Linked DNA regions of Canis lupus familiaris. The protein of the gene in region 5 interacts with the protein of the main gene of each other region in a pairwise test. Links are inferred from orthologs where the notes say so. Each region holds a gene or a part of one and is shown on either strand. Other genes may lie near its edges. The genes, in order: FAM117B, FOXR1, POGZ, SP2, BANP, TNXB and PPIF.

Region 1 (3,944 bases), on a different chromosome or scaffold from region 5:
GGACATCTAAAGAACTAGTAAAAAGAGGTCATGGGCCAGCAAGCAATTCGTAGCCTGAAAAGTCAGTATGTGGTGTCTGGGTCTACCTCTCCTTGTTGTTGGTCTTGATGAGGAGCTCCTGAGATTAAGACCTACCGTTACTGCCGGTCTTCTTAAGTTCTTGCCCATACTACAAAGACTTGTTTCCTTCATTAGACAAAACTAGTCATGGCTAGTCCAGTTCTGTCCCAAATAACGATGCCGAACATCAAATAAATCCCTTTGCGGACTACGGCACTTTCCGAACCTGTAGCACACATCTTTCCAAGGTATCGAGCAACGGTGAAGTTGCTGACTGGAATAAAATTCTCGATTCCTTGCGATGTAGGAAGGTGGCGACAGCATTTGGTTTAACTGGACTTCCTGGACACAATCTGAAAAAAAAAAAAAAAAAAAAAAACCAACAACAAAAAAACCCTCACATCCTAACCAGCAAAATTTTAATCTCCCTGAGGTTTAGCTCGAGGAGATTTAAACAAACAAAAAGAAGCCGAGGTGTAAAATGCCCATAAAAGATCAGTTAAATTTCCCCTCCGAGCTCGGTCCAAACGTTGACGGAATTAGGACAGAACAAAAAGAGATGCGCTTACACGTCCTCGGCGCGGAGATACTGAGGTAAGGAGAGGAGTTCTGAGGGCGAGACTTCGGACGTCCTTGGGGACCGCTCCCGTCCGGGACCTTCTCTTTGGCAACACTCCAGAGTCCGAGGCCCCAGGGCTCCCCCCTGCGGGAAGGGGAAGACTCGCGTGGCCAGGGCGCGCACGCGTACATTCACGTGTACACACACACACGCCCGCGCGCGCGCACACTCTACACACACGCACGGCCTGTTCCCTCCGCTCCCCCTTCCCCGGGGGGCGGGGCCTCTTTCTCTTTAAAGAGCAGACGGCCTCGGCGCAAACCCAGGCTCTCTAAGGCCCCGGGGGCCCGGACCCGAGCCGCGGGCAGCCAATGAGCGCGGCGGAGCGGCTCGAGCGCGGCTGACGCGGCACCAATGGGCGCCCGCGGGGGGCGGGGACAGCGGAGGAGACACTATTGTTGATGAGGAGGAGCGGCGGCGGCGGCGGCTGCACCACCACCACCTCGTTGCTGCCGGCCGCGGCCCGGGCGCCCCCTGCTCCCCGGATTCCGGCTTCGTCACCCCGTCGCGGGGACCTTCCCTCCGGCCTCGAGAAGCCGAACCCTGCAGCCCAACAACAACAAGCCCCCCCCGTCTCGCCCCGTCACCAGGGAGGGGGGGACCATGTCCCAGCGGGTGAGGCGCAATGGGTCCCCCACGCCGGCCGGCTCCCTCGGGGGCGGTGCGGTCGCCACGGCCGGGGGAGCCGGGAGCCGCCTGCAACCCATGAGGGCGACGGTTCCGTTCCAGCTGAAGCAGCAGCAGCAACATGGCAGCCCCACGCGGAGCAACGGCGGCGGCGGCGGCAACAACGGCGGCTGCTGTGGTGGCGCCTCAGGCCCCTCAGGCGGCGGCGGCGGCGGCGGCGGCGGGGGCGGCGGGGGCCCGCGCACCGCCTCGCGCAGCACGAGCCCCACGCGCGGCGGCGGGAGTGCGGCCGCGCGCACCAGCCCCACAGTGGCCACGCAGACGGGCGCGTCCGCGACGTCCACGCGAGGCACCAGCCCCACGCGCGGCGCCGCGCCCGGGGCTCGCGGGAGCCCCCCGCGGCCACAGCCCCCGCCGCCGCTGCTGGGCACCGTGTCGTCGCCTTGCTCGTCGCCCACCCACCTGTGGACTGGCGAGGTGAGCGCGGCCCCACCCCCAGCCCGCGTCCGGCACCGGAGACGGTCCCCGGAGCAGAACCGTAGCTCCCCGGAGAGGAGGAGCCCAAGCGCCCCGGTTTGCAAAGCAGGTACGTGCTGGGGACCGCGCGGCGAGGGGAAGGCGGCGGGAAGGGGTCCTGGGCGCGCGCGGCTTTCGCGCGGGGACTGCGGCGCTACCGCGGAGCGGGGCGGCCGGGGGGCGGGGCCGGGGCGGGGCCGGGGGCGGGGCGGGCCCGCCCTCCACACACCTCGCTCCGTGGGCGTCTTATTCATGGCTCTACCGACCTTGCTCCGGTCCCGCATCGGGCAGGTGCAGCCGCTAACCTGGTGGCTGTGCCGAGACGTGTTAATGATGAACCTGGGATTCTGGTCACACGCTGGTTCCTGCTTACCCTGCCTTGGGAGTGAGGCTAGGCGTGGTTTGTCACTTGGGTAATGTTAGTATAGCACATGTCTGCTGCTAAGTATTTCTTTTTCTCAAAACAGTTTCAGATTGTAAAGACTGAATTCATTAGCATAGCAGATTTGGATTCCTGTAGAGACGTGAGGCTGGGAGCCTTTAGCATTTCCTAAGACTTGGTAAAAGTGGGTAGCAGGAAAGAAGTAAGTTACAGAAGATTCCTTTAGAAGGGTTATGGGCTTCCTCCTAGAGTCCGGATGTATTTCTGATATACAGATGTTGTTTAGATGTAAAACCATTGATTTGTTTTATTAAAAAACGAATCTAACATTTATCCCTTTGTTATTATTTTAGGGATCCCTCAAAAAACCCTGTTGTTTTTCTATGTATTTGGGAGCTTTCTTGGAAAAGGTTCTGAATGAAGCTGTTGGGTTCCACTGGAGTCATTCATAAAGAGTAACTCAGAAAGAAATTCACATTGTGAAAGTGGAGAGATAAGATTTGTCATCGAATTGCCTTCGTATTAGAATATAGTGAGAAAAAGAAATAGGTGGTTTTTAGCTTATGCAGTTATACTACCTTTATTCTTCCCTAGAGAATTTCTTTAGACTCGGGCAGAATTACTGGAAATTTCAGGAGACCTAACACAGTACATCTCAACCAAATAAGAGATTAAGTAGTTTTAAGGGTCCCTTCAGAAATGCAGGGAATGGGATGAATCTTTCTTACTATTTTATCAAAGATTTTAGACAATGGATACGTTTGGAGAGATCGCTCTGAAAAATGATCAATAGTGTTTTCTAATTAGAAAAAGAATACTGTTTTAAACCTTTTGAAAATGCAGGGTTTTTTTTTTTTTTTGACTTTTACATTGTTAAAAGTACTAGAATCCTCCTCTCCTTCAAGTAAATAGTTGTCACTTTACTAAATTCCTACCGTGTGGTTGGTGATTTACCTACAAGATCTCATTTTAACTCTCATGATAGGTTTTGGAGAGGTTAAGTAACAAGTGGTAAAGTCGAATTTGAATTCTGCTGGATGGTACTCCAAAACCGTGTCTTTTATATCAAGGAGGTAGCCTCATGATGTATAAGAGAGAATCTGGATATATATGATGCAGCAAAATTACACATGCTTAGGTTTTGAAGCAAGTCTTAGATGTATTGGTGAACAGAATTACTTCAATTTGCCCTCTATCTTCTGGAGCTGGCACAGTGTGGAAAGTGGAAGCAGAGCAGCAACCTGAGGAGAGTCTGGTTAAATTAAGTATTGGTAAAAAGTGGAAGAAGATGTTCTTCTGCTTTTTAGGACCCTGTTTTGCAGGATGTGCCCACTGTTCATATGTCCCAAAGCTGCCATGTCTCAGATCTGCCTTCCAGTCATAAAAGTAACCCTTCTCAAAAGCTTCCCACCATCTCCCCACCAATACCAGAACAAAACAACCAAAACCCCCCCCAGAAAATAAAAACTTTTTCCTCCGGTGCAGCACTCTCAACTAGATGTTGAAAGGAATAATGTTCATCATTAAGTCATACTGAAGTGAATGTCCGATAGCTTCCTTCTTGGAATGTCTGGTTTCATTCTAGTGAACTTTCATGCAGAGTAGGACTTTCAGATTTCAGATTTCACGTCTTTATAACACAAACACAAACACAAAATTTGCTGTTTTCTTCAGACTAAATCTGGAGGGAGAGAAAGGGAAAAAGAATCTCTTTAATCATTGAGACTCCCTTTTTGCTTT
Region 2 (4,009 bases), about 51 Mb from region 5:
GGAGATCTAAAAAGTATGCCAAACTCAGCATGTCCTGAACAGAATTCCTGATCTTCCTCCCTAAATCTGTCCTACCAGAAGCTTCTCCTGTTTCAGTATCAGGCCACTCCATTTTTTTTACTTAATCAGCCAAAACTTTGGAGGAGGAATTTTTTTTTTTTAAGATTTTATTTATTTTTTCATGAGACACACACAGGGAGGCAGAGGCGTAGGCAGAGGGAGAAGCAGGAGCCCAGTGTGGGACTCGATCCCAGAACTCCAGGATCATGCCCTGGGCTGAATGAAGGCAGACGTCCAACTGCTGAGCCACCCAGGTGTCCCTGGAGGAGTGATTCCAGTCTCACTTTCTTACACTACATATCCATCAGCGAATCCAGATGGTTCTCCCGTCTCTGCCACCACTCTGACCCTCCAGCCTACCACCATCTCTTGTCTGGATCACAGTAGCAGCCTAGGCTGCTGGCTTCTTATCTCCAAATTTATAATATACCCTCCACCCAACAGCCACAGCTATCTTTTTAGAATATAGATCACGCAACATCAGTTACATAATTTGCAGGGCCCAGTGCCAAATGAAAACGAAGGGTTCCTTGCTCAAAAATTAAAAATCTCAAGACAGTGATAGAGCATCAAGCCAAGTACCAGCCCCCTTTGCCCCCTTTACATGGGTCACACACTTGGGAAGCATGAATCACATCACTTCTTTGCTCAAAACCTTTCAACCATGTCACCTCTTACTCAAAATGAACTCGAAGGAAAAAAAAATATCAACTCGAAGGTTCTTAGAGTGGAACATAGGCTCTTCTGGATCTCTGCTCCACACCCTCTGAACTTCCTTCTGTATTTAAGTTTGACCCAGCTTCACTGGCCTCCTTCCTGTGCCTCAAACACTCTAGGTATATTCCCTCCTTAGGAGTTTTACCCTATTTCTTCTGCCTGAGAAACTTTTCCTCTAAATATCCTTTTGACTCATTGTCTCACCTCCTCAACTCTGCTCCAATATTATGTTCCCAAGGAAACCCAACCTGATGACCCTATTTAAAACTGCAGCCAAAAAAAAAAAAAGGGGGGGGGGGCAGCCCGGTGGCTCAGCCGTTTAGCGCCGCCTTCTGCATGGGGTGTGATCCTGGAGACCTGGGATGGAGTCCCAGGTCGGGCTCCCTGCATGGAGCCTGCTTCTCCCTCTGCTTGTGTCTCTGCCTCTGTCATGAATAAATAAATAAAATCTTAAAAAAAAAAAACACAAAACTGCAGCCAGGGGCGTCTGGGTAGCTCAGCAGTTGAACATCTGCCTTTGGCTCAGGTCATGATCCTGGGGTTCAGAGATTGAGTACCGCATTAGGCTCCTGCATGGAGCCTGCTTCTCCCTCTGCCTCTGTCTCTCTGTGTCTCTCATGAAAAAAGAAATAAAATATTTAGACTTGTCTGTTTTGTTTGTTATAGATCACCAGTGTCTAGAACATCACCTGCAAATTGGAGGTGCTCAATAAATATTTCTTAATCAATGAAGATATAGGAATTCTTAGCATTACTTATAGTGGCAGAGAGTTAGAGCCAAAGGAGAACTAAAATGCAAAAGATAGTATATGCAGATGACAGAATATCACTGCACTATGGGAAATAATCAGATATTTGTTCAGCAACCAGAGTAGCTCTAAAAAACAATGGAAGCAGGCAAAAAAAAAAAAAAAAAAACACACACACACACAAAAAAAAACAAGGAGCATTAATTAAGGTCATCTATAAACATAAAATAATGTTAAAGAGTTCTCAAAGATACACCTATCTAAAGACATTAAAACAATGAGGGTGGGGACGCCTGGGTGGCTCAGCACTAGAGCATCTGCCTTCCACTCAGGTCGTGATCCCGGGGTCCCCGGTGGAGCCTCGCATGGGGCTCTCAGAGGAGCCTGCTTCTCCCTCTGCCTATGTCTCTTACGAATTTAAAAACAAAACAAAACCAAGCCCAATTAAGGGTAGATACGTGGGACTGTGGGAGGTGATGGAAGGCGGGGGTGGTGCATTGAACCAGGACAATGGTTAATCCAAGCACCTTGCCCAAACAGATGGCCATAATGTACCACGAGGTAATCACCTCCCTCTGCCCTCCAGGTCCCCCCACCCCCGCCAAAAGTCCTTTAAAAAAAAAAAAAAAAAAAAGCACGACCGTTCAGCAAATATTGAGCGCCTTTCGGTATCGGCCAGTGTACTAAGAGGGGGGCTTCAGCTCCAGCAAAACTGGTAGCTTTTTTAAGAAACAGAACAACGACTCAAAAATGTGTGGCGTGCCCAACGGCGGTAGGCGCCTGGGAAAGGGGGCTTGGCGAGGCCTAGAAGGTTCTGGGACACAGTGAGGGGTGCGGCGGGGTGGCAGGTGGCTGCTGGACCCGCGCCCACCCCGTGGGCTCTCCCCCCCCAGCCCCGCGTTCCGCTCCCCCACGGTGGGGGCAGGGGAGGGGGCGCCCACTCCGCCCAGGGGCGTGGGACCCCAAGGCCGCCGGCGGCTCCGGGCCGGCCCGCGGGGTCCCAGGGGTCCTGGGGGGCCGAGCGCCCCGCCCCCCCCCCCGCCGCGCCCCTCCCCCACGGCCCGCGCTCACGGTTCTGCTCGGCCAGGGGCAGGTGCGCCGTGGTGAAGGCCAGGAAGGACTCATTGCCCATGTCCCAGTCCAGCAAGCCCGGGACCTGGCCATGGAGGCTGGCCCAGAGGTCGCGGTGCCGGAGCCTGAGGTCCACCGTCGGGGAGGGCAGGTCCCGGGCAGAGGCTGGAGGCTCCGCGGCTTCCTGGGCCCGGCGCGGCGCGGCCCGCTCAGGTGCGGGGCGGCTCCAGTTTGACGCCTCGCCGCGGCCTGCACCCGCTGCTCCCGCCACCTCGCGCCTCTGCCCTCGACGCTTTTATGGGGGCCCGGGGGGCCCGAAGGGAAGGGCGCCAGGTCCTCTTCCCGCTCGGCGTTTGCACGAAGCTCTTCCTGCGTTTACTAAGTTTCTGGACCACTGACGACCGACCCCGTGGTCGCATTAATAGCTACTTTCTAGACGTTCTGATAGATTTTACGGCTTAGCCAAGATCTCACCCGTAGTACTTGGTGGAGATAGGATTGGAGGGTGGGTTTGGGGTTTTTGTTTTGTTTTGTTTTGCTTTTAATCATTTCAAATTTACAGAAAAGTCCCAAGAATAGTATAAAAATTCCTGTATCCCTGGATCCTGTAATCCACCAATGACGCCAAGTATTAACATTTTATCACATTTTAATTTTTCTCTCCGTATACGAGACACTGATTATTTTTTCTGAACTAAGACTAATTTGCAGACCTTAATGCCCCTTTACCCATAAATACTTCCGTGTGTATTTCCTAAAAGCAGGGATATTGGCATACATAACCAGAAAACCAGAAATGAGAACATTATCAAAATCAGAAAATTTAACATTGACTCAATACTATATTTAACATACAGATTTTATTCAAATTTCACTAATTGTCCCAATGACACCCTTTGTATACATTTGCTCTCTGGTCTAGGATCTGATTCAGGCTCATGCATTGCATTTCACCTACAAGCCTTTGTCCTCCTTTTTTTTTTTTTTAAGATTTTATTTATTTATTTGAGATAGTGAGCATGGGGGGGGCAGGGCAGAGGGAGAGGGAGAAGCAGACTCCCCACTGGACAGCGAGCTGCATGTGGGGCTCCATCCCAGGACCCTGGGATCTTGACCAGAGCTGAAGGCAGACGCTTTACTGACTGAGCCACCCAGGCACTCCTTTTGTCTTCCTTTCATCCTGAGCAGTTTCTCAGCCTTTTAAATCTTTCACAACATTGACATTTGGGGAAGAATACAGGCCATTTATTTTGTAAAACGTCCCTTAGTTTGGGTTTGTCTGATGTTTCCTCCTAATTAGACTTGTGCATTTTGGACAAGAATATCACATGAAATGTTGCTTCCTTCTCAGTCACTCACATCAAGAGGCATGCGATGCCAGTGTTTCTTATTATTCAAGTGATGTTAACTTC
Region 3 (3,500 bases), on a different chromosome or scaffold from region 5:
TTCTGCTTTCCTGAAACAAATTCAGGAAAAGACATGGGAAGATGAGGTCTATTCCTTGTCTGCACTATTTAATGCCTGAATGTAAGGCCCAAGATTAACACAGCCACCTCACTACAAGCCAGAGACAAGAGAATTGCAGCAGAACACTCAAGTTTTGGGGTTGAAGTTTACTCCACCTCAAGTAGTCTCATTTAAATGATATAATGGATATCCTTACTGTTTAATTCATTTTTAGTCAAAGTTTTTAAAATGCAGCTTCCCATCACCTAAAAAGCTTTTCTTATTACTTTCATCTGTCTAAATCCTTCTTGTATTTAAAGACTCTAAAAGTTTACGACTTTTGGGGAAACCTAGCCTCAAAGATCTTTTCTCTTCTTTAAACTATTTCACCTATCATTGGTATTATACAATGCATAGGCTTATACTTATGTAATTTTTGTCTCTAAAACAACACCAGAAATCCCCTGAAGAACACAAGAGATATTCTAGGAAGACCAGGCTTAAATCCTCACAATGGCACCTCACTACCGTTATATGCTCTGAAGTAAATGATTTAATTTTTGTGAGCCTGTGTTCAGCCTACATTTCCTCAGCTGTTAGATGTACAGTCAAGGCAACACTCCATATCTCAGTTTACAGTTCAGTGAAAGCACTTTTTTTTTTTTTTAAAGATTTTATTTATTTATTCATGAGAGACACAGAGAGAATAGCAGGCTCCATGCAGGGAGCCTGATGTGGGACTCGATCCCAGGACTCCAGGATCATACCCTGGGCCGAAGGCAGACGCTCAACCACTGAGCCACCCAGGCATCCCTGAAAGCACTATCTTAATGGTAAAGTACTTTATGATGTTTATACTGTCATCTTTTGTCCTATGTAAAACCTATCAGGATACTAACTAAAGCAGAGGTCCAAATATAGATGGATCTTGGTTAAGGAATCCATTATATTACACTATATACATTACAACACGTTACAGTGGTCCTGAACCAAAGTTCCTAACAATTCTAGCCCTGAATTCAATTCAGGCTTGAAGAGAAGTCTAACTTATAAGAATAAAGGGTGAGTGAACTAAAGAATTGACCAGAAATGTGCAAAGAGGGGTGCCTGGGTGGCTCAGTGGTTGAGCGTTTGCCTTTGGCTCAGGTCATGATCCCAAGGTCCTGGGATCGAGTCCTGCATCGGGCTTCCCATGGGGAGCCTGCTTCTCCCTCTGCCTGTGTCTCTGCCTCTCTGTGTCTCTCATGAATAAATAAATAAGATCTTAAAAAAAAAATGTACAAAGAGCTTCCTCTATACTGATACCCATATATAAATGATGGATGGGCTCCTCCCCATGCCATTCAATGAACGAAGAGCAAAGTAAACCCCTAGAGTTTAAGTTCCCAAACTTACTCGTTGATTCATAAGGACTATGAACATTTTCCAAGTGGCACTGGAGCTGGAAGGGCGTGGAAAACTGGCGATAACAGTGTTGGCAGATAGTATGACCATCTACCTCACCGTTCTGCTGATCGAGTTCTACATGGTGCTTCATATGGTTCATGAATCTGTAGTACAGCACAAGGAGAAAGTACAGAATCAAAAAAACCAGTAGCCCTAGAATCCCAGAACATACATTGTGTGTCCCACCCCCTTGTTTGGGACAGTCCTTTTCTGAGCTCAGAAAAGGGTTTCTTAAAAGTAGGAGTTCTATGAAGGGATATACTACTTTCCCTTACTCCCCCCAAAGTTATCTCTTCTTATTAACCACAATACCTTCCTCCTTCTATAGTACTACTTATTGATTTAATGATAATCCTTAGCTAGACTAGATAAACAGGACTACTGCCCAAATAGAAAAACATATAAAAAATTTTTAGTTTTCTCTTGTCTAGGGTAACCTCTAAGGCTCTTCAACACTTACCGAATGTTGTTTTTTAGCCTTTTGGTACAATGTGGGCATCGGAAAGATGTGGCAACCTTAGGGAAGTTTGTGAGTTGGGCCACTTTGCCACCATCCCGTCCATAGTAGAAGTCATCTACTAGCATGATGAGTTTGGTCTGGACAGCATCACCCACATTTTCATTTGGCTCTGGTACTTTGGTAGGTGGTGACAGAGCAGGAATAGGTGTAGAAGACGGTGTGGAAGCAACAGGAACTGTTTTCTCAGGGGATGGGGGCTTTGCAGCTGATGGGATACTGGGTTCTGAATCCAGAGACTTTCCTTTCTTCTGGTATTCCACCATTTCTGGGCAACAGTACTATAAAGGAAGATCATTCTGGTTATCTGGGGGCTGGGATGTACCAACTCCCCAACCTCATGAACATCTCTCAGGTATGGTTTGGTCCTATGTATTCTCATCCAGGTTTCACCCTTTGGTTTTCTATAGTGTTTCCAGAATTCTGGCTTTTTCTATGGATATATATTTATAGCCATATGCCACTCCAAATCCCATACCTTATATTTCTTCCTCCTGCCTTAGATCCTTCAACCACTTAACTAGCATAACTTGCCTCTGAACTCCCTGGCAGGAAGAAATCCCAACTTTTGCGTCTGAACTAATAAAAAATGAAAAGGCTAGAAATGGGAAATGGTTAATGACTCTTGATTCACACAATGACACAATAAATAGAAAATAAATTGAGGAGTACCTAGGTGGCTCAGTCAGTTAAGCATCTGACTTCCACTCAGGTCATGATTTCAGGGTCCTAGGATCAAGCCCCATGTTGGACTCCCCACTCAGCGAGGAGTCTACTTGTCTCTCTCTCCCTCTGCCCCTACCCTACTCGTGCCCTATCTTACCCTCTCAAATAAATAAAATCTTAAAAAAAAGGAAAAAGAAAATAAACAGAGGTTACCTTCACTTGAGTTCTGATTATCTAGCAAACCTGTCCTGTGTAGTTTTAAAATCAACCACAACCAAGGAATTAAGGTCACATATGTTCCAATCTACTTGAGAGTCTCTAAATGTATCTTTCTACATTCCAAAGTATGAAACTCTTCTAAAACAGGCCAAAAGAGAGCATAACCCTTTAAGAAGCTTCTAAGTCATTTTAGAGCCCCTCCTTCACAACCTCCTAATTCTACAGGAGATATACAAGTAGTAGCCACTGAAGCTGGATCCCCATCACAACTGCTATCACTTACACACATGTGACCTCTCAAAGCTTCAGTAACACGGAACTGAGCATTACACCGAGGACATATTTTCCGTCCACCATCCTGGAGGTCAAACACTGGGATGGAAGACGTCACTGAAAGAAGTTAAGAAGCACTGATAAGACTAATGAGACGATACTGGAAACAGATTACTGGCCCTTTGAAGACAAGTTAAACACTCCCTGAAAGGCATATTAAGGTTGATACGCAAGTATGAGTGATCACTATGAGGACCACTCTTTTTACCATTCTTCTAACTCTAGGACAGGGGTCAGCTAATCACAGCTCATAGACAAAATCTAGCCAGATGCCAACTTTGGTTTGGCCCATGAGCTAGGAATGGATTTTACCTTTTGG
Region 4 (4,013 bases), on a different chromosome or scaffold from region 5:
AATGGTAGCACCTGCCATACCAAGACGTAGCAAGTCAAGGTGAAAAGCAGAAAAGAGCATGGGGTTTAAAGTCAGAAATTTGGGTTGAATCCTGCCTCTTGTCACCTGTGCCCCATGAGCTCTTGGAAACTTAACTCCTCTGAGTTCCAGGCTCTCCATCTGCAACATGGGCATAATCTCTGGCATTTACTAGGCATACACGAAGAATAAAACCACCTCACAGAGTCAAATAGATTCCAGAGTAGTATGGCACCTTAATATAAGCCCCAAATAACATTCTTATTGAATTATTAACATCCCAGATGGATCTAGCCTAAGTGTTCCTGCCATCAAGCTGGGCTGTGTCTTCCTACTTTTTTTCTTGCCATTAACAATGACCAAAATTTTCTTATTAATTTTCTTACTTTACATCAAATTCTATGGTTCTGAGATTTCATTCTTGCTGCTGTATGTGATTCTATAGTAAAAAATAAACTTTATTATTAAAAAATACGTATCTGTCCTCTAACCACCCTCCAAAAAACTCTCCAAAAAGAAAAAGTGGACAATATAGGTATATAGGGATGTCTTATCCGATTTCTAAGGATGAGCAGTACATAACCACCTGAACCAAAGAGAGCCCACATGTCAGCAGAAATGGCCACTTACTACTGACCCCAGATGATGCTGACTCCTAGCACTCAGGTCAAATCAGCAGCTGCCTCAGTATCATCTTCTAAAGCAAGCCAGGGGGAACAGAGTGTCAGCCATTCAGTGCGAAGGAGAGGGAGGCGGGTGTAGAGGGTGAGTGTGGTACCTGAGTAGGCGTCGGCTCAGCCGCCTGGATCTGAAAGTTCTGGGAGGGCTTCTGGGGGACGGTGGGGAGGGTAGCAGATGCCGCCTGCACCACCCGCAGAGCCTGCTGGGGGATCTGTACCACCTGCTGCTGCTCGGCCTTGGGGGGCACCACCTGGACCTGCTGGACCACAGCTGGCTGGCCCCCACCAGGGCTCTGAACAATGAGCAGGTTGTTTCCTGCCTGGATGATGTTGTCCGCGGTGGTCTCAATCAGCACCGTCTCCACTTGCTCCGCCACAGCCACAGGGGGCTGGGAGGCAGGGAGACTCTTCTTCCTGGCTTTCTTGTTAGTCTTAGACAGAGGGGTGGGGGGGCTCTCCGTGAGGAGCTGAGTGGTGGCCCCAGAGTCGCTGGTGTTCACAAGGTTGTTGACGGGCAGAGTGAGTGTCACATTGCCGCCCCCACCCGTCAGCTTCACCACATTGGCCCCACTCTGCACAGGGGTGGTAGTTGTACTTGACTTCTGAACCGGGGCTGGCTTGATGGGGACAGGCTTGTGACTGGATGGTGAGGGGGTGATGATGGCTTGGCTGGTGCCAGGGATAATCTGGATCTGGTTGGTGAGACTGGGCTGTACCTGGATGGTCTGGGAACTGCTCGCCTGTATCTGAGGGACCGCCTGGTACTGGATATTGGCATTTGATCGGGTCCCTTTGTTGATCACAGTGGGATTCTGAATAGCGAACACGAGCTGCCCCCCAGGATAGGATGCACTCAGTTGTGACCCCTGAATCTGAAGGATGTTTCCTTTGGAGGACAGGATTCCGAAGCTATTCTTGCCAGGACTGAGAGGGAGAGGGGCAGGTTTGATGGGGACGAGTTTCCGTGGTGTGGGCTGGGGGGGAGCAGGCGGCGTCACCGCAGCTTCAACAGCTGGAGGGCCAATTTTGCTACATGTTGCGGCAAGCAGGGCTAGAGGAGATGGCTGGGAATCCTGCGAGAGAACGAGCGGAGGAAAAGTGAGACATGAACCTGCTGCCCAGCCACCCTCTACCCTTCGTGGTCTCCTCCTCTTGGCAGGCTCTTTGGCACCTCTGTGGTAGGCAGGGTGCTAGCATCTTCCCTCTCCCTGCTATCTCCTCTTTCTCTGAGGGAGAAAGGGTAGGCAGTGCCTTTCTCGGGGGGAACTCTCTAGAAGCCCCCATAACAAGGTGAACAAACACCTTTCCCACTACCCGTGTTTCTCAAGGGGTCACAGAATCATCCTCAGCTTTTAGGCAGAAGTCCATTGGCCCATCACGAGGGCTGAGGGGCCCCTGATTCCTCAGCTGAGGAAGGAAGGGAGGAAGAATAAACACTCAGGTAAAGTGGGGAGGGTGCTCTTTCGAGGCTACAAGGACAGAGCCTCTGGACTGTAGGGACACAGCCTCTATTTCCCTTTTATGGTCAGTGGGTCTGGTGGAAGGGACCTGGAGTTTAATCCTGCTTTTCTCCCAACTCAACTGTGCCACCTCAGGTAAGTGGCCCTGGCTTCTTCATTGAGAGAAAATGAACCACCGAATCTTCCCAGGGGTCATGTCCCAGGGTGTTTACAGAGAAGCCAGTACAGAGTTTTCAGCTGTGGTTTAATGTCAGCTTCAGAGAATGCCTCCAGGCTGATGCAGCACTGCCTCCCCACCCAAACCCACTGCTCACTCACCTGGGTGCTGGGGGCGGCGGGCTGCAGGTAGTCGCTGGGGCTGACAGCGGCAGTGGCAGCCATGCTGGTCTGTGGATCTGCTGGAAGAAAAGAGACTGAATAAGTCACCAGAGGCCCAAACAGAACCCAAGCCCATTGGCCTCAGGTACTCCTTTTGCCTCTCTCTGCTTCTCCAAGAGGTCAACCTTTTCTAATGCCTCCCCACTCAAGGTTAGCAACCCTACATCTTGTTCGGTGGGTGGCCTTCTCTCCTCTCCTCCAATCTGTCCATCCTGGGCTGGGAGGGCAGCTGGTTTTGTCTCTAGGCATCATAAAGCCTGGGACAACAGGAAGACACAAGACTTTGCTGAGACCAGCTTCAGTCATCCAATGGAGGAATCTCTACAGGGTACTGCTAACTCTAACTAGGTTGATGGAATCCCTATTTGGTGGGCAGGAGAGCCGCCCTCATCCCAGCCCTGCACCTCTGGTTAATCCTCTAGATCTAACCCAAGCTCCTTGCTCACTCCTTCTATAGCCAAATGCCAGGCTGACAGTCGCTTCTCTCCTAGGATCCCTGACAAAGACACACCTGCTCCACGAGAAAGGAGATCTAAGGTGCTTTATGCTCAGCCTTCACCACAAAGGTACCAGAGCCCAGGTAATGATCTTGAGCATGTGGATAACCACTTTCAGTGACTTTACATAGGCTAACAGGTATGGCCCCAAAGGCATCACCAAGACTAGAACTAATGACTAAATATAATGAGAATGAAAACAGAGTAAATTCTATTTTTGTTAAATGTGTACATATTTCTATATGTGAACACAGCAGGAAATGTCTTTGAAAATGCTGAAACGTTAAGACCCATTATTATCTCCTGGCAGTAGAATTTTGCTTGACTTCAAGAATTTTTCTTGTTTTTCTGGATTTTCTCATTTTCCCACAATGAATATACCCTATTGTGCCCCCCCCCTTTAAGAAAGAACAATAAGGAACGTTGAGGAAGTAATGAAGGGAATGTCTACTCTGAACTTAAATCAGATTTAAAGAATTAAAGTAAAATGGAAATCATGAGAATTTGGGGGTCGGGTGGGGAAGAATCTATGCCATCTTGTAGTTCATAAATCACTAAGGAAAAGGACACTAGGCAGTGAGACTCGCATCCTTAACCTTTGGAAAGTAGCTCTTGGGAAGTACAGAAACAAGGTTATTATTTCAGAGAAATAAACTGTGTGAGAAGCCAAAAGCACAGCTCTAGACAAAATCGTATAGGGAGATCTTGAAATATTACAGACACTGATCCTTGGCAAAATCCTAGAAACAAGACTGAATGGCACGTTATAATTACTGAAGACAACAATGACCCTAAGGAAGAAGGCACAGGGTTGCAAAAACTGAATCATGCTGTTTTCATGAGGTTTTGCATGGATACATCAAGGAAAGGGTATACACTCTGTATTTTATTTCAACAAGGCATCTGACCGAAATTTTCATAATATTCTTATGAATAAGAAGGGAAAAAAACTGCAGGCAGGAGAGTATGGTTTGGAGGCC
Region 5 (3,500 bases):
GAGAGGGCCCCTCTGTTTGTGGCTCCCCTCTGTGTGTTCACAGAGCTCCATTTGGCCTCTTCTCTGGGTCCTGTCTGCAGATCGTTCCTCCCCCAGCTGTGTCCTGTGCCCTTTGTTGTTCTAGCCACTCCTGAGGGCCCCATAGTGCCGCGGCCTGCTGCGCTGGGGGGCAGGAGAAGGCCTGGCTAGATGCTTGGGGGCCAGGGAGCTCTTGCCAGTGGTGAGACACAGGGTCAGGCATGCCAGGGGCTGACCCCGAGCGATTAGGAGCCAGGGCAGCTTGAGCAGGCTGCTGTGAATCGAGTCCAGAAGGTGGAGCCCCCTCCCCGTGGCACAGCCAGGATAGGAAGCATGTTTTGTCTCTGTAAGCAGGGAGGTGGCATTTCTTCCACTTTCTTTGTGCCCACCAGTGCCCGCGAAGGGATGTTGTTGAGGCGGTCTTGGAAGAGCTGCGTAGCATGTCTCCAGGCAATAAATACAGATGCTTTGGGCCTTTTTTGGAGCTGGTGACTTATGTCCTGTTTTCCTGGCAGTATCTTACAGCCCCATATCAGGACCCCTTAGGGTGGTGAAACTGTCCCTTAGGAAGTTCTTGGCTGGCTTTTTAGATCCATTTCAGTGGATTTTGTTGGTGGGAATAGTTGGGAGTGATAATGGCCATTAACAGAGTCTAGTTGCTTCTGGTAGGTCTAAGTAGGGAGTGGATTGGATCAGTGAAAAGTCTCCAGGTTCACTTTCTCTTAATCCAGTCTTTCCTTTGCATAGTCTAAAAAGTTACTCAAATGTCCACGTTTTGCAGGATCACCTCTGTGATCAGAGAGTTGCATTCTAGGCCTTGAGTCACAGTGGGTTGTGATTTTTTTTCTCTTGTGATACAAACATGATTGTAAACTTTGCAATTTCATACGGTTTCTTTCCAACCCCAGACTATTTCGTGCTGCTCAGTTGCTGTTAATCTTGGTAGGGAGAGCTGTATGGGGAGACTTGTGAGCTGCTGCTCCATGCGCAGCTTAGAGTCTCTGATAAATGAAGGTGAGAAGAACATGGCAGTGCCTCAGTGCTAGTGTCTGCTTGTTGCTCATGGCACGCTCACAACATTGGCTGGTGTTTTTGTTTCCCGCTCAGCGCGGTGCCCGGGCGACGACAGAACACCATTGTGGTGAAGGTGCCGGGTCAAGAGGACAGCCACAACGAGGACGGGGAGAGCGGGTCCGAGGCCAGCGACTCCTTTTCCAACTGTGGACAGTCAGGAAGTCAGAACATTGGCAACAACGTCACCCTCATCACCCTCAACTCAGAAGGTGCGCCCGCAAAGCTTCTTTCCTTTGCCTGAGAGGCGGTAGGTACGGCTTCCTGTCCTGTTCTGTGTGTTTGCCGCGGAGGAAAGCAAAGCGGTCAGCCTCACAGTGTTTCAACTTGATGATGGCTCACAACCAATCCATGCTTGGTAGAAACTGTACTTCAAATTTTGAATTGGGGTCTTGTCCCCAGGCTGGCAGCGTGCAGTCTGGTCTTGGTGATGTGAGGTAGCGGCTCCCAATCAGCCCGTAGTCATGCAGTCAGTAGCCACCAGGCCGACCACTGTTCCGCATCCCCTGCAAGCCCTTCTGTTTGCCCCTTTCAGCACTGTGTTCGGTAAGTTCCATGAGCTCTCTCGCACGGTATTTGTGTGACATGATTTTGCCCAGCTATAGGCTAACGTGGATGTTCTGAGCACATCTAGGGTGGGCTGGGCGAACATGTGATACTTGGTAGGTTAGGGGTGTTAGATGAATTTGTGACTTAAGATTTTTTCAACCTATGATAGGTTTCTTGGGACATAGCCCCATCCCCAGTTGAGGAAGATCTGTACATGTTTACTGTTTTTAAAAAGTGGTAGAAGAAAGTGAGAAAAACATAAAATTTCATGTCCAGAGAGCTCTGTAGAATCCTGTGGGCTTTTTCCATGTGAGCATAAACATGGTATGATTCATGGTGTGACACAGACCTCATTCATGCACGTCTAGTCAGCTTCTGGAGGCTTTCTAATGACAGGCATTGTGCTTCTATAACTAGTAGCTGGTCACTGCCTTTGACCATAGGCCTATCCACGTCTCTGTTGAAGACCAGACACAGGTGCTCAGAGGGGATTGTACAACCTTCCACGAGATGTAGAGGGAGCTGCTCTGCTGGCTGGATGTGAGCCTGGACGTGAGCCTCTTTCACCCACACCAGGGCTCCTGTCCCCCCGTCTCTCCTGCCAGGGTCTGATGTATGCTCTCGACTGGCCCTGGTCCCTGCTGCTGGCCTGATGTGCCTCTCAGAGGCTCCCTGCTGCCTGGCACCTTTGCCCTGCCTTTGTGGGCCAACCTCGGCTTCCCACATGGCTTTTCATAGCATGGGGAAGAGGGCAGATTGATGGTTTAGCGCTGTGTTACTGACTTCTAAAGCCTCTTGTTTCATTTACTAGTAAACTTGTCAGGTTTATTGGTTTTATGTCTGAGTTGTTGATTATTACCAGAAGCACAATATCGATTCCTAAAGGCAGTGATGTAGATTTACTGAGCAAAGATTTTCCTGTTAGACAGGTTACCATATCTGAAAGACTGAAGACAGTGTTTTTCTCAAAGTTTTGCTCAATTCTGACATAAATTGCTAGGATTGGGACAGCACAGCAGGAGTGAGGAGAGAATCAGGGTTTAGGGACAGCGTTTTTTAAAAACTTAGATCGAGGGCAGCCCGGGTGGCTCTGTGGTTTAGCGCCGCCTTCAGCCCAGGGGCTGATCCTGGAGACCCGGGACCGAGTCCCACGTCGGGCTCCCTGCATGGAGCCTGCTTCTCCCTCTGCCTGTGTCTCTGCCCCTCTCTCTCTCTCTCTCTTTCTCTGTTTCTCTCATGAATAAATAAATAAAATCTTAAAAAAAAAATAAAATTAAAAAATAGAAACTGAGATCGAATTTAAATACCATAAGGTTGACCATTTTAAATAAGCATCCAATTCAGTGGTTTTTAGTACATTCACATGGTTGTGCAGCCATTGCCCAGGCTAATTCCAGAACATTTCTGTCAGGAAGGAGGCCCTGCTACAGTCACTGGCCATTCTCCCTGGTATTCACCAGTCCACTCTCCATCCCCGGAATTATGTGTTGCAGGCGCTTCACACACGGGGGAGCCGTGTAGAGCACGCCATCCCTTCTGTGGCCAGGTCCTGCTCCATCATGTGGATGCACCACATTTTGTCCACCCATCTGTTCATTTGTCAGTGGACACTTGAAGTGCTTCCAGTTTTTAACTGTGATGACAATGCCTATCTAGGTAGTTTGCGAGAACATGTGTTTTTGTTCCTCTTCGTAGGCACCTGGGAGGGGAATCACTTAGTTTTTTTACACATTAAGTTTGAGGAAGAGAGGGATGCCATCAATCTCAGCTAATGGAGATTTACCATCCATAGTAGAGATGGCATCTGTAACTACGTGTTCTTCCTGTCTGTGCACGTGGATTCTGGGTAGATGCCCACATAG
Region 6 (3,500 bases), on a different chromosome or scaffold from region 5:
TCTGGTCAGTCACTGCTAGCTCACCCAGGCGTGGTGGGGCAGAAGTCTTCCCAGGCTTCGGCCCATCCCTGTCTGGAACGTGGGGGCGGAAGTTGAGCAGGTGGACTCAACCGTTACCTTTGTCCCTGGTCTCCTTCCCTCTCCTCAGCCGGCTGGGTCCCTCCTTCCTTGACAGCTCCCTCCCCCAGAGCCTCCACTTCCCCACCTCAAGCCTCTGTGAGCAGCCCTCCTCTGTTCTGGAGTGACAGCATTAGCCCTCCCCTTGTGCTAGTTTCCCCACCTCTCACAAAGGTCCCAGTCCCTCTCCACATCAAGACCACTGGGGGAGTTTCCAGTCATCCCTGGTTCTTCCGGAGTCAGAACCTCCTCCTTGCCACTCTGGAGCAGCTGAAGACTCCTCTGTCCACTTTTCTCTCCCTCTCCTCCCTCTCTTCTAGTGCTGAGCCTGACCTGGAGTGGCAGGGAGTATGCTACCCTAGTCATAAAGAGGGACCAGGAGGGAACCTGAGAGCCAGGAAGTCCAGGCCCTGGGCTTCACTGACACCACAAACCTCACCTGTCTCTGAAGCCCTGATCCCTGTGGAGCTCCCTACCCTAAAGAACCTCCATCCCCAGCAGAAACTGGCTGCTGGGACCATGGAGCACAGCCTACTACAGGCCAGGCTCCCAGAATGGGGGCTGCTGTTCTAGGCTGCCCCCTGAGGGGGTGGTGGGGGCTATGGGGAAGGGAAGGGGGAGAGGGGGCTAAGGGTCAGTATCATCAGGGCTGAGGCCTTCCCATGCCTACCCTCAGAGATCTGTGAGTGACCAGGAACTGGGGAGGACACAGGACAAAGAACACTGTAAGTGGAAAGCCAGAGCCTACAGCCCCTCTCTTGACTCCCAGGCCCACCCTCTGACTTTTCTCTTCCCATCTCCCCCCTGCACCTCATCCTTATTCTGAGACTCCCTCCATTCCTCTTTCCCCTGAACCCTCAACTCCAACCTCCTCTCTCCTTGTTTGCTCTTACCACTCCAACCCAAACACCAGCCCAGCCCCACAATCCCCATGCCACCTCTAAAGCCCCAATGGCCCAGCCCCTCCCCATCCCCAGGACACTGATTGGAACAGAGTTCAGGATATACCCATAATGCCTTGGTAGATGAGAGGGGCAGAGGGCTCGCCCTCCGGGGGGACCCCACGCAGTGACAGCTCATAGGGGACTCCAGGAGGGGGCGAGGGCACCAGAGCCTGGCGGACATCCCCGGGCAGGAGCTCCTCATGTGGCCCTGGCCCCTCAGGCACCCGGAGGTGCAGCTGGAAGTGGGCAAACGTGTCAGGCTGAGCAGTCCAGGCGACACGGAGCTTCCCCGTCTTGTCTCTGCCCAGCACCCTCAACTCTCCTAGCTCCTGGGGGCGCTGCTGCAGTTCAGGGGCCCGGGCCCCTTGCGTTGTTGAAGGGCCTGAGGGAAGAGGCTCATCAGTGGCCCCCAAGAGGCCTGAGGGAGAGGACCCTGGGAAAGGGCAGGGTGAGAAAAACAGGAGAGTTGGGAATGAGAGCAAGAAAGGAAATCCAGCCCCCAGGTTCTGCCTTCTAGCCTCTAAGAGCCCACAGAGCCTCCCTCTTCTGCTTCCAAGTCCACTCCCTGGGCTACTGCATCCTCCCAACACCCCTGTCCACCACATTCCTGAACAGACAGGCCTGCAGGCAATAAATGAAAGAAAGAAAGCTGACCATCCCCCCCTCACAAGGCTCCTGTGGCCTCTAGCCCCCACAGACTTCCACGTCCCTCCCCAAGCACATCTCCCTGCCCACGGGGTGGTGGTCGTAGCTTCCATTAGTGCTGCAGTGAGAAGCCTGGAAGAAAGGAGGGGATGTGGTGTTAGGGAAGGCAGATGCAAGGGGAGAGTGGGTAGTGAGGAGAGAGGGAAAAGAGGGTGTGCGTGGGTACATCCAGCTCAGGTGGCATCTGGGCCCTAGGTGGGGAAGAACAGGTCCACATCCCTCCCCAGGGCAGCCCGAGAGCACCCCTTCCCTGGGCCTGGCATCATTCCTGTGGAAGAGATAAGCATGAAGTGAGCCAGGAGGTCTGGAAAGACAGCTCAAGAAGCAGTGGGTTCACCGCTCACAGACACAAGCTGCCTGATGACTTCAAGGCCAGCCCCACACTGTTCTGATGTGTCCCTTTGAGGTCCAGGCCAAATCGTGGAAAACTCTAACCACTGACCAGAGCCTTTGGCCACCCTCACCACAGTGAGTCAGAGTGGGGAAGTGATGGTTTCACTCTGGTGCCCCACTCCCACTGCTCCAGTGAGTTTCTGCAGGCCCGCCCCGTCCGTTCCCGGGATGGCAATCCGGGCAAGCGTCCCAGGAACCCTGAAGACCAGGTCTCGCCCTGGGTATCCCCCCTGAGGCTCCTGGGGTGGAGATGGCTTCTAGGCGCCCAGTAGGGCATGCTCTGCTGTGGGGTCCCCTGGAGTCTGGACCGGGCTTGAGGGCCCCGGGGTGTGGTGCGGGTGGGGTGGTGGTCCGAGCAGCGAGGCGGCCAGAGGAACTCTCCGATGGGGACTCCAGCGTCGGGCGAGGCTGGGCAGGGGATGGGTGCTCCCGCGGCCCCAGCGCATGCTACCTGTGGTGGTGACGAACGCGTAGGACGTGGAGGTCTGCCCTGCCCGCACCCCGTGGACCTCCACGTGGTAGGTGGCGCCGGGCGTGAGGTCGGGTAGGCTGACGGCGCGCGCGGTGCCCGGCACGGTCAGCTCCCCGCCGGGGCCCTCCGCGGGGGGCTGGGGCCGCCAGCGCAGCACCACGCGCTCGAAGTGGCCGCGGAGCCCGTCGAGGGACACGAGTAGCGCGCCGTCGGCGGAACTGCCCAGCACCTCGGGCTTGGGGTGGCGCGGCGCGGCCTCGCGGTCCACGCCCTCCGGCGAGAGGCCGTCGGTGCCGGGCTCGGAGGCCCCCTTCCAGGCGCCGGGGGCGGGGCTCGCGGCGGGGGCGGGGCGCCGGGCCGGGGGCGCGGGGGAGCCGGGGGGGGCGGCAGCCGCCCGACGCCGCTGCAGGTACTCGTGGACGCGGCGCGCCACCGACGCGTAGGTCTGGTTGGCCCGCAGCGGGTAGCCGTGAGCTCTCAGGTGGCGCTCCAGGTCTCGCACGCTGCCGCGGAACCGGCCCAGCTCGCCCGGCAGGTTGGCCCACGGCCGCCGAGGGGGCTGCGGCGGGCTGGGCCCGGGCCGAGGCTCCTCCTCCCCCTCCTCCTCCTCCGCTGGCCGCGAGGGCCGAGCGGGGCGCGCGGGGCGCGGGGGCCGCGGGGCGGGAGCCGGCCGGGGACGGGGCTGGGGGGGCGGGGCTGGGGGGCGCACCTCCGGGTAACTGTAGTGGCCTGGCGCTGCCGGGGGCAAAAGAGGGGGGAGGGGAGAGCCGGTCAGCGGCAGCCCCCTCCGTCGCGCCCCTCCCTCCGTCCCTCCCCCGGGCGCCGGGGGCCTCCGCCTGCGCCCCAGCCCCACCTGGAAAGAGAACCAG
Region 7 (3,914 bases), on a different chromosome or scaffold from region 5:
TGGGCAGGTGGGGGGGTAGAGTGGGGGCAGATGGATACGCCATCCTGGGTCTGCAAGGTATAGGGAGGCCACCTGGCTGGTGAGGAAGGAGATGCCGGGCAGGCAGTGGGGCTCAGCCTAGGGAACTGGCTCTCTGGCAGCTGCCGCTCCCCCCCACAGAGCAGCCTTGGGAACAGGGACCCCTGGCCACCTCCCTGTCTCCCCTCCAAGAGTTGCAGGTAGAAAATTCTAGGTCACTACCTATGAATCTTCTCAGAATGGCCATTAGATCCTTTAAGAATCATTTAAAAACTTGCCTGGATAAAAAAAAAGTGAATCGTTTGGAAGGTAGGGAAGTTATTCATGGCCAAAAATATTTAAGCTTTTATTTTTTCTTACTTTCTTTGTTTTTTAATTAGTCCGTACATCCCTGGATGTTTTTTGACCCCCTGGCGTGCAGGGCTGCCGGCTGGGTGGGCCCTGGGTGGGTTGGGGGGCTCCCTCCCAGCGCCGGGGCAGCACCCCCGCGGCCAGCTCAGGGTGGCAGCTGCTCAGGAGGTGCTCTGTGCTCGCAGGCGGGCGACTTCACCAACCACAATGGCACCGGGGGAAAGTCCATCTATGGAAGCCGCTTTCCTGATGAGAACTTCACGCTGAAGCACGTGGGGCCAGGTGAGCGAGCCTGCGGTTCCCCGGTCCGGACGCCCTGAGCTCTGGGCCGGCGTTTGCAGCCTGGTGACTGATTTCCCAGAACCTGGTGATGCCCCTTCCCTCCTTCTACCCTCCTGGTCGGGGTGTTGGTTCTCCTGGAGCTTTTTCATGCCAAAATAGAAATAAGCCTTCCTTGGAGAAACTGCTAGAGAACGCCTTTGGGCAAAAGCCAGTGTCGGTTCACATTTAAGACCCAAGGTGCAGTTCGCAGAAACGTGGAGGTCGGGGTGCACAAGTCCCTCCCATTCCAGTCTCCACCATGGATCACGGGACGGGCCCTGGGGAGCTGTCGAGCGCTGGGCCCTGCTTGTCCTCGCCAGGCTCCAGGACCTCAGACCCAGCCGTCCCTGCCGTGGCGTGAATGACTTCCCAGGCGGGAGGTGCCTCCTGGTGCAGCGTGGCTCACTCCTGCTTGTTTTTGCAGGTGTCCTGTCCATGGCAAATGCAGGCCCCAACACCAACGGCTCCCAGTTCTTCATCTGCACCGTGAAGACGGACTGGTGAGTCCCCACGCCTGACTCCAGGCCCTCTGGGAAGGAGGAGGATGCAGCTGGAAGAGGGTTGATGTGCTTCCGGGGGAAGGTGGTGTGAGACCGGACCGTGCTCTGGGACAGAGGCTCTCACCCGGGCTATGTGTCCGTCCGTATGGGAGAAAGACGAAGTGCATAAAAGGAATGAGGGAGGATTCGGGTCGTTCTTAGAACCGTGTCTTTGTTAGGTCTCTGCTGCTGCGTGTGCACATGCACACACCATGGGCTTTTACCAAATACATCTGGGACAGGCTGCAGAGCTTCTCAGGCCTCAGGGTGGCCTGTGGTGAAAGCCTGTTTGCTTGCTTTAACATGTTGTTCTGGCCTTGAGCTTGGAGCACACCTCTGGCCCACACGCCTGTGGATTTTAGGGATGTCTTCCCTGGCACATTTCCTGTTACCTCGTAAGTTCGTCTGTCCAAAGTCCCCTGTGTCCTAACCCTGAGGCACATGGGGTTGAGGGGACAATAGTTGACCAAGAGATAAGACTTATTAAAGTCCATTTCCTAGGACTCCAGGGAGACCTGAGTGGCAGATGGATACTAGCTGTCGCTGACCCCAAGCCAAGAGGGACACGGGTGTCAGGGCAGGTCGTTGCTGGCTCTGGGCTCCTTCTGTGGAACCCCTGATAGATCCTGCGGTTCTGCCCTTGGCTGGATCCAGAGTTGGCCTTGCTGGCACCAGACTAGACTGCTTTTGGGTTCTTGGAACTCTCTCAGATTGGGACTTGTGATCTTGGCTCTCACCTTGCCACGCATGACCACGAAGATGGTTCCATTTACACGCACCTCTTGTTTCTTGAGAGTAGCTTGATACCCTGTGATCTCCGTGGGCAGAACAAGAATAATTCACTTTTCATAGATGAGGTTACCAGGATCCAGGTTAAGCGGCCCAGGGCAAGGTCACACGGCATGTGAGACAGAATGTGCCCTGGAAGGGAGGGATCCCCTGGTGCGTTTTTGGGGAGTTCAGCGAAGCTTGATGCCGGAGCTTTGGGGGTGGGTCCAGATTTTCAGTGTGAGTCCCTGTCAGAGTTGCTAAATAGCTAAATTGATGAATAGTTCCATGACTGAGGGACCATGATGACGTTGGCGGACACTGCACTACTCTTATTCGTACTTGACTCCCCTCACAGGTTGGATGGCAAGCATGTTGTGTTTGGCCACGTCAAAGAGGGCATGGACGTAGTGAAGAAAATAGAATCTTTCGGTTCCCGGAGTGGGAAGACGTCCAAGAAGATCATTATCACAGACTGTGGCCAACTGAGCTAACCTGCCCCGGCCAGGGCGCAAGGGTGGTTGCAGCTGCACTGGTGTTGACTCACCTGGACGGCCGCCTTGGGCCCCAGCAAAGGTGCCCCGTCAAGTCGCCTGTGCTCGTTCTACCATCAGTGTGTCTTTGAGGAAGGCCTCTCTAGGATGTCACATCTCCACAGGGCCCAGCACACTGCCTCCCATGTCCACCCTTCCTCACACCCCATTTCAAGACCCTGGTCGTGAACACGATGTCACCGTTCCTCATCAGGCCTTCTCCGTGACCCCCCAGCCCAAGTTCACCTGTGCCTCTCATCAGGCCTTCTCTGTGACCCCCCAGCCCAAGTACACCTGTGCCTTGGATGTGGAAGCAGCGATGGCTTAGCTTTAGGGACGGGTTCCTGCCTTTTCCTCGGCCAGGGCCAGGAAAGCCAGCCGCTGTAAACAGGCCATTATAGCTGTTCAGTGGTACCTTCGAATCAGAATAATTTAATGCACGAGGTTGCCCCGAGATGAAGCTGTGACATTAACTACCCTGTGCCGTCATATGACCTCAGTTGGCGGCAGAAGCCATGGGAACCCAGAGCTTGGCCTTCGGAACATTATCGGGGCTTTTGTGAAGGGTCCTTGGCCCTGGCATTTTCTCCCGGCCTCTGTGAATCCCACTGGTTTGCTGCTGTGGTTTTTGAGGAGAGTCTGGGGGGAGGGAGGAGAGAAGCAGACAAACCTGGGAATAAACCCACTGCAAGCTGTGCCTAGTTGGTGAAGTGGTGAAAAATGGAAATGGCCCACACATGCCGGGGGCTCTGGAGGAAAGTAATTGTGTATTTTCGGAAGGGCTTTGATTTATCTGTGTTTAATGTACTGATTATGTATATAATTCACTTTTGGGACATTTGTGTTCACTTGAAATGTGAAAATAAATCCTATTTTCTATAGAAGACTGTGTGGTGTCTGGTGGTCTTAGGAAGCAGTGTTTATAACTCCAGGATTTGGAGCCAACTTTTATTTATTTATTTTTAAGATTTTATTTATTTATTCGTGAGAGACACAGAGAAAGAGAGAGAGGGACACAGGCAGAGGGAGAAGCAGGTTCCCTGCAGGGAACCTGACGGTGGGACTCGATCCAGAGTCTCCAGGATCACGCTCTGGGCTGAAGGCGGCGCTAAACCGCTGAGCCACCCGGGCTGCCCTGGAGCCAACTTTTACTGGCGTTACCACACATGGGTCCGGGGCTCTGCTGAGGGTTTTTACCCGGATGATCTCACGTAATCAGTCCAACCAAGGATGTACTGTTGTCATCCTCATAGACGAGATGGGCCCAGACAAAGGATCTTAGCACCCACAGCCTGTCAGTGAGCACTGGCTCCCCACCCCATCCCCCGAATCACAGCTCCCTGTCCTAGTGACCCCGAGTCTGTTTTGGGGGCTGGCTCACAGA

Evidence for each region.
Region 1: the proteins of BANP (region 5) and FAM117B interact in binary tests that used the Homo sapiens proteins (3 or more experiments, as listed by UniProt). The two-hybrid records come from large-scale screens. The link is inferred for Canis lupus familiaris from reciprocal best matches to the Homo sapiens genes BANP and FAM117B.
Region 2: the proteins of BANP (region 5) and FOXR1 interact in binary tests that used the Homo sapiens proteins (3 or more experiments, as listed by UniProt). The two-hybrid records come from large-scale screens. The link is inferred for Canis lupus familiaris from reciprocal best matches to the Homo sapiens genes BANP and FOXR1.
Region 3: the proteins of BANP (region 5) and POGZ interact in binary tests that used the Homo sapiens proteins (3 or more experiments, as listed by UniProt). The two-hybrid records come from large-scale screens. The link is inferred for Canis lupus familiaris from reciprocal best matches to the Homo sapiens genes BANP and POGZ.
Region 4: the proteins of BANP (region 5) and SP2 interact in binary tests that used the Homo sapiens proteins (3 or more experiments, as listed by UniProt). The two-hybrid records come from large-scale screens. The link is inferred for Canis lupus familiaris from reciprocal best matches to the Homo sapiens genes BANP and SP2.
Region 6: the proteins of BANP (region 5) and TNXB interact in binary tests that used the Homo sapiens proteins (3 or more experiments, as listed by UniProt). The two-hybrid records come from large-scale screens. The link is inferred for Canis lupus familiaris from reciprocal best matches to the Homo sapiens genes BANP and TNXB.
Region 7: the proteins of BANP (region 5) and PPIF interact in binary tests that used the Homo sapiens proteins (3 or more experiments, as listed by UniProt). The two-hybrid records come from large-scale screens. The link is inferred for Canis lupus familiaris from reciprocal best matches to the Homo sapiens genes BANP and PPIF.

The regions. Positions count from the first base shown.
Region 1 is NC_049258.1:11,440,774-11,444,717, forward strand, and holds the start of FAM117B (protein FAM117B), read left to right. Parts: upstream 1-1,144; 5' UTR 1,145-1,282; coding exon 1,283-1,892; intron 1,893-3,944.
Region 2 is NC_049226.1:14,884,004-14,888,012, forward strand, and holds the start of FOXR1 (forkhead box protein R1), read right to left. Parts: upstream 2,801-4,009; 5' UTR 2,659-2,800; coding exon 2,598-2,658; intron 1-2,597. UniProt on the Homo sapiens protein: Transcription factor which acts as both an activator and a repressor.
Region 3 is NC_049238.1:61,136,156-61,139,655, forward strand, and holds part of POGZ (pogo transposable element with ZNF domain), read right to left. Parts: intron 3,239-3,500; coding exon 3,132-3,238; intron 2,245-3,131; coding exon 1,907-2,244; intron 1,551-1,906; coding exon 1,396-1,550; intron 1-1,395. UniProt on the Homo sapiens protein: Plays a role in mitotic cell cycle progression and is involved in kinetochore assembly and mitotic sister chromatid cohesion.
Region 4 is NC_049230.1:24,184,602-24,188,614, reverse strand, and holds the start of SP2 (transcription factor Sp2), read right to left. Parts: upstream 2,801-4,013; 5' UTR 2,789-2,800; coding exon 2,701-2,788; intron 2,557-2,700; coding exon of another isoform or gene 2,554-2,556; coding exon 2,477-2,553; intron 1,772-2,476; coding exon 797-1,771; intron 1-796. UniProt on the Homo sapiens protein: Binds to GC box promoters elements and selectively activates mRNA synthesis from genes that contain functional recognition sites.
Region 5 is NC_049226.1:65,688,824-65,692,323, reverse strand, and holds part of BANP (protein BANP), read left to right. Parts: intron 1-1,125; coding exon 1,126-1,301; intron 1,302-3,500. UniProt on the Homo sapiens protein: Controls V(D)J recombination during T-cell development by repressing T-cell receptor (TCR) beta enhancer function. Binds to scaffold/matrix attachment region beta (S/MARbeta), an ATC-rich DNA sequence located upstream of the TCR beta enhancer.
Region 6 is NC_049233.1:1,623,182-1,626,681, forward strand, and holds part of TNXB (tenascin-X), read right to left. Parts: intron 3,244-3,500; coding exon 3,031-3,243; intron 2,863-3,030; coding exon 2,611-2,862; intron 1,495-2,610; coding exon of another isoform or gene 1,444-1,494; coding exon 1,126-1,443; intron 73-1,125; coding exon 1-72. UniProt on the Homo sapiens protein: Appears to mediate interactions between cells and the extracellular matrix. Substrate-adhesion molecule that appears to inhibit cell migration. Accelerates collagen fibril formation. May play a role in supporting the growth of epithelial tumors.
Region 7 is NC_049225.1:29,804,525-29,808,438, forward strand, and holds the end of PPIF (peptidyl-prolyl cis-trans isomerase F, mitochondrial), read left to right. Parts: intron 1-554; coding exon 555-651; intron 652-1,114; coding exon 1,115-1,190; intron 1,191-2,355; coding exon 2,356-2,491; 3' UTR 2,492-3,414; downstream 3,415-3,914. UniProt on the Homo sapiens protein: PPIase that catalyzes the cis-trans isomerization of proline imidic peptide bonds in oligopeptides and may therefore assist protein folding. Involved in regulation of the mitochondrial permeability transition pore (mPTP).